2 linked regions of the Saccharomyces cerevisiae S288C genome follow. The protein of the gene in region 1 interacts with the protein of each later gene in a pairwise test. Each region holds a gene or a part of one and is shown in the gene's direction. Other genes may lie near its edges.

Evidence for each region. Proteins that work in one complex are often made in the same cells at the same time.
Region 2: the proteins of YNR065C (region 1) and YDC1 interact in a protein complementation assay, tested with the Saccharomyces cerevisiae proteins (one large-scale study listed by BioGRID).

What each region holds. Positions count from the first base shown.
Region 1 is NC_001146.8:747,433-757,533, reverse strand, and holds YNR065C (uncharacterized protein), read left to right. Parts: upstream 1-3,833; coding exon 3,834-7,184; downstream 7,185-10,101. Other genes in the region: DSE4 (endo-1,3(4)-beta-glucanase), read left to right, coding at 1-1,788; YNR066C (uncharacterized protein), read left to right, coding at 2,499-3,809; YNR064C (epoxide hydrolase), read left to right, coding at 7,526-8,398; PUL4 (Pul4p), read right to left, coding at 8,768-10,101.
Region 2 is NC_001148.4:381,848-384,908, forward strand, and holds YDC1 (alkaline dihydroceramidase), read left to right. Parts: upstream 1-1,607; coding exon 1,608-2,561; downstream 2,562-3,061. Other genes in the region: YPL088W (aldo-keto reductase superfamily protein), read left to right, coding at 118-1,146; Elongator subunit ELP3, read right to left, coding at 2,926-3,061.

The sequences.
Region 1 (10,101 bases):
TCTTCAACAAGGGTAGTGCTATCAGAATCCAATGATTCTTCGAACTACCTGGAAATACCTTTGGTTCAAGGTATGGGATTTGCAACTGGTATATATCATGGATCTTTAAATGCCAAGATTGGTTCCAGCGTCGGATTCAATACCATTGTTTCTGAATCATCAAGCAATTTAGCTCAGGGTATTCTCAAATATCGTATCACCCTTTTGAATGGAGTCACTTGGTTATGTTACGTGATAGGACCAGACGATTTAACCTCAACGGACTTTTCATTGGAGGTGAGCTCAGAATATGAAATTAAAGCAAGCGCTAGTGTTGATGGTCTTATCATTCAATTGGCCGTCGCACCTTCTGAAACTGATTACGAGGTCTTTTATGATCAAGCCGCAGGTATGTACGTTACTAATTTCAAGCTGCAGGGTGTCTCTGACGGTTCTACAGCTACCTATGAATTTTCTTATACCACCCAAGGTGAGTCGGCATCAGGTAGCACAATGATTTTTGCCTTGCCCCATCATGAATCTTCATTTAGTGATATAATGCAAGACTACTATACCGGCATTCAACTCGCTTCTACAACTAAGGGTGTAATGAACGGTTATCTAACAACGAGCCTACAATTTTCCACATCTCTAAACAGACAAATATCTTGGTTACCATGGTCTTCTCAACTTGGCTCAAACCTTTTAGAGTATTCTAAAGAACAATTGCAATTATTAGCTGAAGTTGCCAATTCCGAATTACAGGTTAGTATTTCCGAAAGTATAAGCGGGTTAAACACATATTATTTGGGTAAAGTTATCGATAAGTATTCTTACATTCTATTAACGGTCTCCGAAATCATCCAAGATGAAGCCAGTACTAAGAGTACTTTGGAAAACATCAAATCGGCCTTTGATATTCTGCTACAAAATGAACAGACGTATCCACTAATTTACGACACAAAGTTCAACGGTTTGGTCAGTTCAGGAGATTGGGGTTCCACCAGCACGCAATACGATTTTGGTAACACTTATTACAATGACCATCATTTCCATTATGGTTACATTATTCATGCAGCTGCTGTCATCGGCTATGTTGACTCTAAACTGAATGGTACTTGGGCTGCCGACAATAAAGATTGGGTCAATTCATTGGTAAGAGATGTCGCAAATCCATCTGAAAAAGATGAATACTTTGCACAATCGAGAATGTTTGATTGGTTCAACGGTCATTCATGGGCAGCTGGACTTTATGAAAACGGTAACGGTAAGAACGAAGAAAGTAGTAGTGAAGATTACAATTTTGCCTATGCTATGAAGTTATGGGGGGCCACTATCGGTGACCAGTCAATGGAATTGAGGGGTGACTTGATGATTAGTATAATGAAGGATGCAATGAACGACTATTTCTATTATCAAAATGACAACACAGTTGAGCCTGAAGAAATCATAGGAAATAAAGTGAGTGGTATTTTATTCGATAATATTATCGATTATACTACTTATTTTGGAACAAACACAGAATATATCCACGGTATTCATATGCTACCTATCACACCAGTTTCTTCTAATATTCGTTCTGAGACTTTCGTCGAAGAAGAATGGCAGACTAAAATCGAGCCAATTATTGAATCGATAGAAAGCGGCTGGACAGGCATATTGAAGCTGAATCAAGCACTCTTCGACCCAGTAGATTCGTATGCATTTTTCAGTGATTCAACTTTTGATTCATCCACATATTTGGATAACGGAATGAGTCGCACATGGGCATTAGCATTTTCAGGGGGACTGGCCAACTCAATTGCTTAGAAAGAGAACTTGGCAAGCAGGTCTGTCGAGTCTTTCCCACTACATACATATTTTATAGAATAAATCATTTTTACTTAACTTGAAAGTTGTTGCGTTCGAAAAGACCACGGCTAACGGAGACCACTTAGGTAAATGCATGCCAGTAAGAGGTATATTAGTACTTTAATGAATGAACTTAGCAAGGTAATGCCTGCACTAAAATAAAATTCTAACGTCATCCTAAGAAGCATCAATTGGACATAGTGAGGAAAAGTTTTCACCATTTAAAATTTGTTTTGCAGAATACCATTCTAGACTATGATCCCTTAGAGATTCTCATTCTTTAAATATCAGCTTCAACAGCATATCTTTATAGTATTATCGTACTACTGGCGACATTAGCAAATCAAAGTATTTTTGCTCAGTTTCTAGTTTTATCTGTTTGATTCCCCATTAGATGGTAAACACGTTGTCTTGATGACTGAAAAGGAAGTGAACATGGTCAACTCAAAATAACCAGACTCAAAATAATTGCAATTACCTAGGCTAGATATTTTTAGAATATTATGAGAATATTTTTAGAATATTTGCAACCCAAAATATATTTAAATGCCGCCAATTTGCAACCAAAAGATTATCCGCTACCTTTTTTTTAGTCATTGAATCGTAGCATAAAGTTCCGAGCTTTGAAAAAAAGCTTTGAACTAAGAAAAGGTAAGAGATCCTCAATTATGATATTACTCCAAGTCATATGCACGATTTGGACATGTCTCTTTATTCCGTTACTCAATGCAGAGGAATTCGTCCCCAAAGTAACGGAGACTCTTTCAGAATATTCATTTAGTCTAGAGAGCTTTGACGATTCCAACAGTTTAATCAGATTAGATAATCAAGTCGTGTGGATAAGTTCCGATTCTGGAGAAAATTGGGAAGCGGTCAAAGAAATTGAAGGGCATATTCTCGAATTAATTGTTGATCCTTTGCATGGACAGGACAGGGCTTTTGTTTCGATACATTTATCACCCAAATTTTACGTCACCGATGATCGTGGAAAATCATGGAGGGCTCTGACTATACCCGTCTCTGAAAACTGTCGTTTGGGTACTTCTTGCTCTATAGCTACCCATCCGACAGATAAAAAGTACCTTATTGCAGATTGCCCTTGCTTTATAAACGACAATGGTTATATCCAAATACAAAATGAAACTTACTTTACCAACGATGGGGAATCCTTTTACAATATCGAACCTTCCTTGAAAAAGAAAGAAGATGACCATATAACAAGTTCAAGCTGCAACTTTGTCAAATCTAGCAAGGATTCTGATATTGAGGGTAACGACGCTTCGATACTATGTTTGTTCTCGAACCATGGTTACGATAGCGATCGTCACTTAAGTGCCGCATATACACAATTAGCCTTAAGTACTGATGGAGGTAAAACTTTCAAAAAATTTGATGAGTTTAATGATAAAATTATTTATCAATACAAGATATTAAAATCACATATAATCGTTTCGACACAAGATGATAGATACAATGAAATGTCACCCATGGACATCTGGATATCCAATGATGCGTCTACTTTTCAAAAGGCACGTCTACCTGCTCAAGTACGGCACGTCCATATGTATGGAATTTATGAAGATTCTATTGGAAGAATAATCATTCCTATATCTACGATATTCACAGATGAAAAAAACGACCAACCAGCTCCCTCAGAAATTTTAATATCAGATTCTCAAGGGTTGAAATTTTTACCTGTTGAATGGACAATAAATCCTCACTTTGGTTATATTGATATTGCTTCTCCTCATTTCTTAGAAGGAACAATAATTGGCTCGTTTCATCCTTCCTTTGACTACTCTCATAACAAAGGAAAATATAATAAAAAGATAGCCAGATATGAAACTAAAATATCTGTTGATAACGGCCTCACATGGTCAAATTTGAAAGTGGTTGACGAGGAAAATGCAGATTCATTCCCTTGTGATATCACTAGGCCTGAAAGATGTTCGCTCCAGAACCCTTTTTATAGTATCTAAATCTCAAATCCTACTGCCGGAATTATGTTAATGACAGGTTCCGTTGGCGACGGTAGTGAATTCGATTGGGAAGACCAAAAAACTTTCATCTCTAGAGATGGCGGTTTAACGTGGAGATTTGTTCATAATTCTTCTGGGTTATATGCTACTGGTGACCTGGGAAATATTATTGTGTATATCCCATATGATCCAGAGGAAGATGGCGATTTTCAATCTGAATTTTATTATTCTTTGGACCAAGGTAGAACATGGAATGAATATGAGCTGACCAATGCCATAAGTTCTGTCCATCCCTACAAATTGATAAATCCAACACCAGATGGATCTGGCTCAAAATTTATTTTTAAAGGAACGTTTGCCACTACCGATTCCGAAACCAACAGTATAACTTCTTTAAAAGGTGTCGAGTATATAATTGATTTTTCAGCAGCATTCGACTCTAGAACGTGTGAGGAGGAAGATTTTGAAGATTGGGATTTGGCGGATGGGAAATGTGTTAATGGCGCCAAATACAAGTATAGAAGGAGGAAACAAGACGCCCAGTGTTTGGTAAAAAAAGCATTCAAAGATTTGAGTTTAGATGAAACGCCTTGTAATAGTTGTGGTGAATCCGACTACGAATGTTCGTTTGAATTTGTTAGGGACGCAAACGGCCTGTGTATACCAGATTATAATCTGATTGCCTTTTCCAACATATGTGACAAATCGAAGGATAAATCTGTGTTAGTAGAGCCATTACAATTAATCAAAGGTGATGAATGTAAAACACCCATGAAAATTGAACCCGTTGATATTCCGTGTGACGAAATTCCAGAGGAGGGTTCGAGTGACAGGGAAATAGTGACCACTGAAAACAAATTTGACTTCGAAATTAAATTTTACCAATACTTCGATACAGTTGCCGACGAATCTTTGGTCATGCTGAATTCGATAGGAGACGCCTATATATCCCACGATGGTGGACAAACAATAAAAAGGTTTGACACTAACGGCGAAAAAATTGTTGAAGTTGTGTTTAACCCATATTTCAATTCTTCAGCATATTTGTTTGGCTCTAAAGGTAACATATTCTCAACACACGATAGAGGACACTCTTTTATGATAGCTAAATTACCTGAAGCCAGGCAATTAGGTATGCCACTAGATTTTAGTGCTAAAGCACAGGATACTTTTATTTACTATGGTGGCAAGAATTGTGAATCAATCTTAAGTCCAGAATGTCATGCAGTAGCATACCTCACCAAAGATGGAGGTGAAACTTTTACAGAAATGCTTGATAATGCAATTCATTGTGAGTTTGCAGGCACACTCTTTGAATATCCGTCAAATGAGGAGATGGTTATGTGCCAAGTAAAAAAGAAGTCTTCAGAAACAAGAAGCTTGGTTTCTTCGATAGATTTTTTCCAAGGTGATAATAAAATTATCTTTGAAAACATTATCGGCTACTTGTCCACTGGTGGCTATATTATTGTTGCCGTACCTCATGAAGACAATGAGTTGAGGGCATATGTAACTATTGATGGTACTGAGTTTGCCGAGGCAAAATTCCCGTATGGTCAAGATGTTAGTAAGCAAGAGGCATTCACTATTTTAGGATCTGAGAAAGGATCGATATTTTTACATTTAGCAACAAACTTAGAATCAGGACACGATTTTGGAAACCTTTTGAAATCCAACTCGAATGGTACTTCTTTTGTCACTTTAGAGCATGCCGTTAATAGAAACACATTCGGTTATGTCGACTTTGAAAAAGTTCAAGGTCTTGAAGGTATTATTATTACCAACATCGTTTCGAATAGGGAAAAGGTTGGAGAGAACAAGGAAGACGAACAATTGAAGACGAAAATCACCTTTAATGACGGTTCAGATTGGAACTTTTTGAAGCCTCCAAAGAAGGATTCGGAAGGGAAAAAGTTTCCCTGTGATTCTGTATCATTAGATAAATGTTCTCTACATTTGCATGGTTACACTGAACGTAAGGATATCAGGGATACATATTCCTCCGGTTCCGCGTTAGGAATGATGTTTGGTGTCGGAAATGTTGGCGATAAGCTTCTACCATATGAGGAGTGTTCCACTTTTTTAACCACTGATGGAGGAGAGACGTGGACTGAGGTTAAAAAAGGCCCCCATCAATGGGAGTACGGTGATCATGGTGGAGTCTTGGTTTTGGTCCCCGAAAACGCAGAAACTGATTCTATTTCTTACTCCACCGATTTTGGTAAAACATGGAAAGATTATAAATTCTGTGGCGACAAAGTCCTCGTAAAGGATATAATCACCGTTCCCAGAGATTCTGCTTTGAGGTTTTTGCTATTTGGAGAAGCAAAAAACATGGGTAGTGGTTCATTCAGAACGTATACAATTGATTTTAGAAACATCTTCGAGAGGCAATGTGAGTTTGATATTACGGGTAAAAAAAGGGCAGATTTTAAGTACTCTCCTCTGGGTTCCAGAACTGGTTGTCTATTTGGTCATCAAACCGAGTTTTTACGTAAAACCGATGAAAAATGTTTTATTGGGAATATTCCACTTTCTGAATTTTCGAGGAACGTCAAAAACTGTTCATGTACGAGGCAAGATTTCGAATGTGACTATAATTTTTATAAAGCCAGTGATGGTACTTGTAAATTAGTCAAAGGCTTAAGTTCGGCGAATGGTGCCGATATCTGCAAAAAGGAACCCGACTTAATTGAATACTATGATTCCTCTGGCTATCGAAAAATTCCCTTATCAACCTGTAAAGGTGGGCTGAAATTGGATGCACATTTAGCACCACATCCTTGTCCGGGAAAAGAAAAGGCATTCAGGGAAAAATATTCTATAAACACCGGCGCTTATGCGCTGGTTTTTGTTACAATTCTTCTCGTTATTTTCTTTGCCGCATGGTTTGTATACGATAGAGGTATCAGGAGAAATGGGGGATTTTCAAGATTTGAAGAAATAAGATTAGGAGACGATGGGCTGATAGAAAACAATAGGACCGATAGAGTTGTCAACATCATTGTAAGACTAGGATTATGCATTTCTTTAATTACCAAGTCTGCATTTCAACGCACGAAGGCAGGTGTAGCACGCTTTTCTTCAAAATTAAGGGCAAGGTTTGGCAACAGAAAAGGTCCTACTTACTCTTCGCTGCTTCAGGGTCAGTTTTCAGATGAATCAGATGGCTTGCATGAAGATGCTAACGATTTATCCAGTTTCACAAGTCAAGACAGTAATTTTGAAATTGAACAAGAAGATGCTTACAGACCCGAACAAGAGCACACGTCACAGATAGACCAGCCTGCCACTAGCAATATTCCAGACGCATTGCCAGCACGTAGTGCTATTCACAAGCCTGATTCAACTGCTGTGCGCAACGAGGACGAGTAAATAGATTTTTTTAATAGACTAAATAATCGTATGTTTGCTAACAAAAAGTACGCATATGCATTTTCTCAATATTGTGCATTTTCTAAATCTCCATTCACCTTTGTTATTAACATAGTCATTTAAAGGTATGATAATTCAGTATTCATCTTTTCCACAGACGGCGCTGCATGCCATTCGTCTGTAACTTGCCTAGGGACTGCGCCGCACATAATCGTGACAGAAATTTCAAAAGTGATAGGAGCCAAAAGTGATAGGAGCCAAAAAGAACATATATAAGCACGATCAAATTAACTGAACTTGACCACTTTTCTTTCACTGTCAGAATTGGACGAAGGACAAAAATGTCAAATATCATTGCAAGATTTCACAAGATTCAAGTTCAAGACGGTGTAAAGGTTTGGTACCGTGAGGCCGGTGCAGCAGGTAACCCCACAATTTTATTGCTACATGGGTTCCCTACATCTTCCAACATGTTCAGGAACCTCATTCCCTTACTAGCTGGACAGTTTCACATCATTGCTCCGGATCTTCCTGGGTTCGGATTTACGGAAACGCCAGAAAACTACAAGTTCAGCTTTGATTCCCTTTGTGAAAGTATAGGATATTTGTTAGATACTTTGAGTATTGAAAAATTTGCCATGTATATATTTGATTATGGATCTCCGGTAGGTTTTCGGTTAGCCTTGAAGTTTCCCTCCAGAATTACTGGCATTGTTACTCAAAACGGTAATGCTTACGAAGAGGGTCTCGATGACCGCTTTTGGGGTCCGTTGAAGGAATATTGGAAGTCATATCAAAGTGATCCGGTATTTGTTAAATCCCTTATCCCGTACCTTGAAGATCCAGCTAATGTCATATGCCAGTACCATGATGGAGTACCAGCTATCGAATCTGTTGATCCCGCCGCTTATACGCTTGATATTGCGCTAATTCAGCGTACCGGCCAGACCGATATTCAATTGAGATTATTTTTCGATTATCAGAATAATATAAAGTTGTACCCAGCCTTTCAAAAGTTCTTGAGAGATTCAAAGATTCCTGTGCTAGTTGCATGGGGTGCGAATGATACTATTTTTAGCGTTGCCGGGGCTGAAGCTTATCGGAAAGACGTTGATAATTTAAAGGTTGTTTACTATGATACTGGCCATTTTGCGCTTGAAACTCACGTAGTTGCTATTGCCGAAGAAATCATCAGTATGTTTGCAGAAAATTAAAGATACTAAGTTCTTGTGACAATGTTTTCTGAGAAGAATCTCTCGTATTTTGTTTAATTGCCAAAAACACATATGTTTCGACTCACATAGAGTTGCCTCAGAGCGTTCTTTTGTTACCCATTATTGCTCATAAATAAGTCAAAACAGATGTCTGGTCGCATTATCAAGGGTTTGTACTGGTAGCCCGGTGACAATATATTAATCTAAGCATATAACATTTTTAGTAAGTTCTTCAGCCACCTTTTTTACGATCTATGTTGTTTTGAAGGGTAAACCTACTACCATGTCATATGGATCTTTCCCCTAGTAAACTTGTATCTCAAAAGGTCATTTCTGAATAAAGTGTCAAAAAATCAGCTAGGAAACGGTTTAGTAAAGTATGCGACCCCAAAATTCGACAAAGCTATCACCACTCAGCTGTACTGGACTGATCGGATATTTGATTATATCAATAAGGTTTTGTTCAATAGGAAGTACCTGAACTAAATCTTGCAATATTTCCAATGCTAGAATGTATTCAAATAGTTCAGTACCTTTAAGGAACTGCACCACCTGCTTATACCTTAGGAGTATAATACATGAAATACATAATGTCAGTGACGCTGTTCTTAAAGGATAACAAAAATTCCAATCCAAACGTTCATGCCTTTCCTTTTCGTTATCGGGAAACTGTTTAGTGTATTGACTCCATATTTCGTGAATTATTGATTTTGCCATGGTTACTGCTTGTAAGGATTCTCCAGTGATCAGATACGGACGATATAATAGAAAAGAAGCTTGAGCTCTTAAACATGATAGCTCTAACATTAAGACTCTGCTCCTGTAAAAAAGATGTTCTTCGAATATCGGAAAGCCTTTTAACCTGGTAATCTGGAGTGAAACCTCCTCAAATTCTCTTTCTAAGTTTACGAATGGTACCTCGTTTGCGGTGCTGGAAGTATATAGCCGTTGAAAAATCTTACTTTGTAGAGTGGCTAGCTTGATTCTGATTTGCATGAAATCTATCAAAAGTTTATTAGTTTTATTGCGGGGGGATATTTCACACGGCAGAGGTGTTGTAATTTGTTCCAAAGTGATAAAAGGATTTTTTCCATGAATTGTTGCCAACATGCAAGAAGAACACCAAATGTTCCAAAAAAGCAAGATCACACCAATTCCGTCGCTGTTCGACTCAAGTAATTCCTTGCATTTTGTATTGTTGTTCAAGTTTAAAGCCACAGCAAGTTGTAAAGCATTTATACTCAAATATAATTGGTGCTCTAAGGATATCATCATCGTCATGAAATTTGCCATTAGAACGAGGCCGCAAAATCCATCGATTGTGGGATGAGATAACAAGTCGGGAACAAGCGTTTTCGCAGCATTATAGTACTTAAAAGCATCAGTGGTCAGTTTTGAAATACTATTCTCCGGCAAAAGTGGACGATTGTCTATGTTCGAATGATTCAATAGTTCCCTTTTTCGTATGGTCAACGACCCCAGGCACAATACAGTTGAAAGTAAAAACTTTTCATCACTATTTCCTTCTGTACATTCCAAATTTGGGTATTGGGATTCCAGCTCATATAGATGCCATTTTGATATTCCTGGTACGGAGTGAAGCTTGTTCTCAAACAAGACATCGATTAGCCGAGACCTCGTAGGAGCGTTATCTTCGCTCTCAGTTTCTTTAACCACACCGCTTAAGCCTGTAGCAGTAGGTG
Region 2 (3,061 bases), on another chromosome or scaffold:
GTATATATATATATATATATATATATATTAGGACCCAGAGAACAAGGTATCATATATTAATTGTCTTGCCAACTATGTAATTTGGCTGTTACGGAAGACCCACATCAGGCGGCAGAAATGGTTTTAGTTAAGCAGGTAAGACTCGGTAACTCAGGTCTTAAGATATCACCGATAGTGATAGGATGTATGTCATACGGGTCCAAGAAATGGGCGGACTGGGTCATAGAGGACAAGACCCAAATTTTCAAGATTATGAAGCATTGTTACGATAAAGGTCTTCGTACTTTTGACACAGCAGATTTTTATTCTAATGGTTTGAGTGAAAGAATAATTAAGGAGTTTCTGGAGTACTACAGTATAAAGAGAGAAACGGTGGTGATTATGACCAAAATTTACTTCCCAGTTGATGAAACGCTTGATTTGCATCATAACTTCACTTTAAATGAATTTGAAGAATTGGACTTGTCCAACCAGCGGGGTTTATCCAGAAAGCATATAATTGCTGGTGTCGAGAACTCTGTGAAAAGACTGGGCACATATATAGACCTTTTACAAATTCACAGATTAGATCATGAAACGCCAATGAAAGAGATCATGAAGGCATTGAATGATGTTGTTGAAGCGGGCCACGTTAGATACATTGGGGCTTCGAGTATGTTGGCAACTGAATTTGCAGAACTGCAGTTCACAGCCGATAAATATGGCTGGTTTCAGTTCATTTCTTCGCAGTCTTACTACAATTTGCTCTATCGTGAAGATGAACGCGAATTGATTCCTTTTGCCAAAAGACACAATATTGGTTTACTTCCATGGTCTCCTAACGCACGAGGCATGTTGACTCGTCCTCTGAACCAAAGCACGGACAGGATTAAGAGTGATCCAACTTTCAAGTCGTTACATTTGGATAATCTCGAAGAAGAACAAAAGGAAATTATAAATCGTGTGGAAAAGGTGTCGAAGGACAAAAAAGTCTCGATGGCTATGCTCTCCATTGCATGGGTTTTGCATAAAGGATGTCACCCTATTGTGGGATTGAACACTACAGCAAGAGTAGACGAAGCGATTGCCGCACTACAAGTAACTCTAACAGAAGAAGAGATAAAGTACCTCGAGGAGCCCTACAAACCCCAGAGGCAAAGATGTTAAGTTAGATTTTCATGGGCCCACTGATATATAGAAGGCTAAATAACGAGAATCATATATACTGTAACATGACACCTGCTGATTTTTACTGATCGTAGCCATTCGGCTCATATTACTTCATGTCCCTTTTTTAAATCCCTCGTTCCCGGAGAGTGGCATAGCATGTCCGATAGCGTACGCCAACCTACAGAATCAGGGGATCAGATTTCCTGAAAGCAACTTATCCATCAGTTTCTTTTTATAATGCCATAATGACAGGTGTGCCTTTCTTATTTTACTTCGCTTGCTTTCTTTCTATTGCATGCTTCAATCTTTGAATATTTGCTAATAGTGAAAAAAAAAAAGGAAATAACTATCTGGTTTATCTGCATTGTTCTTCGTTTTTCAATTCAAGAATTTAAGCAAAAGGATATATCATAGAACCTAGTGAATTTTTAAGAAAGTAAGATAAAGAAAAAAATCAAATGCTGTTCAGCTGGCCTTATCCAGAAGCCCCGATTGAAGGTTATTGGGGCAAGCCAACTTCTCTGATTGATTGGTGCGAGGAGAATTATGTCGTATCCCCCTATATTGCAGAATGGTCAAATACTATTACCAATAGTATATTCTTAATGACCGCCTTCTATTCTACATATAGCGCTTGGCGTAATAAGTTAGAAACAAGGTATATATTGATAGGAATGGGGTTCTCGCTGGTTGGTATTGGTTCGTGGTTATTTCATATGACTTTACAGTATCGTTATCAATTGCTAGACGAACTACCAATGCTGTATGCGACCATCATCCCATCGTGGAGTATTTTTGCAGAAACTCAAGAAATCTTGATTAAGGATGAGAAGAAAAGGAAGGAAAGCTCATTTAGAATCCAAATGGTCATTTCTTTTATCATGTGTGGTATAGTCACCATTTTAACCTGGATTTACGTTGTCGTCCAAAAGCCAGCAATTTTCCAAGTCCTTTATGGTATATTGACGCTTCTAGTTGTGGTTCTTTCTGGCTGGCTGACCTACTATCACGTTCATGATTCATTTGCAAAGAAAAATCTTTTTATTACTATGGTTATGGGCATGATTCCTTTTGTCATTGGGTTCATTTGCTGGCAACTAGATATTCACCTGTGTTCTTTTTGGATCTATATCCGGAGAACATATTTGGCCCTGCCATTAGGTGTTCTATTGGAACTGCATGCTTGGTGGCATCTTTTGACCGGTACTGGTGTCTATATCTTCGTCGTGTATTTGCAATATTTGAGAATATTAACCCATGGAAATCCAAATGACTTCTTATTTATATGGAGGTGGGGATTTTTCCCTGAGCTGGTAAGAAAGGGCTTACCGATTGGTACTTCTTATTCACTGGAGTATCTGGGGCCAATTGTAAATACACAGGTAGATGATGAAACAAAAAAGAATAACTAAGGAGTGATTTTGTGCCATCCATTTGAATCTTCAAAATATATGTACGTATATGTTATGTATGTATATAAATTGTTGTACGTGCAATTGACCGAACGTGTATATTTGTATATAGATATGTGACAAACTAAAGAGCTTACACTTCGTTCCTTCCCTTCTGTTCACCTTTTTTTATTATGCCTGACTATTCTAAAATTTATGTTTATGTGGCGTAAAATATCTTTCTTCTGAAAACACATGCAGCAGTTACTCCCATCATAAAAGGAATTAATAAATGAATAGTATAAACAATTATTTACTTAAATATATTTAAATTTCTGCTTGGAAAACCGGCCATGTCGGCGGCACATAAAAGTTCTATTTACCTTTAAATTCTTTTCGACATGTATGGACCGTCTAGTTCATATCCTAGTTTACCATAGTAATTTCTTACACCAACACCAGAAATAACAGAAATTTTCTCTGAACCATGCTCTTCCTTGGCGATTCTTTCCGCTTCTTCC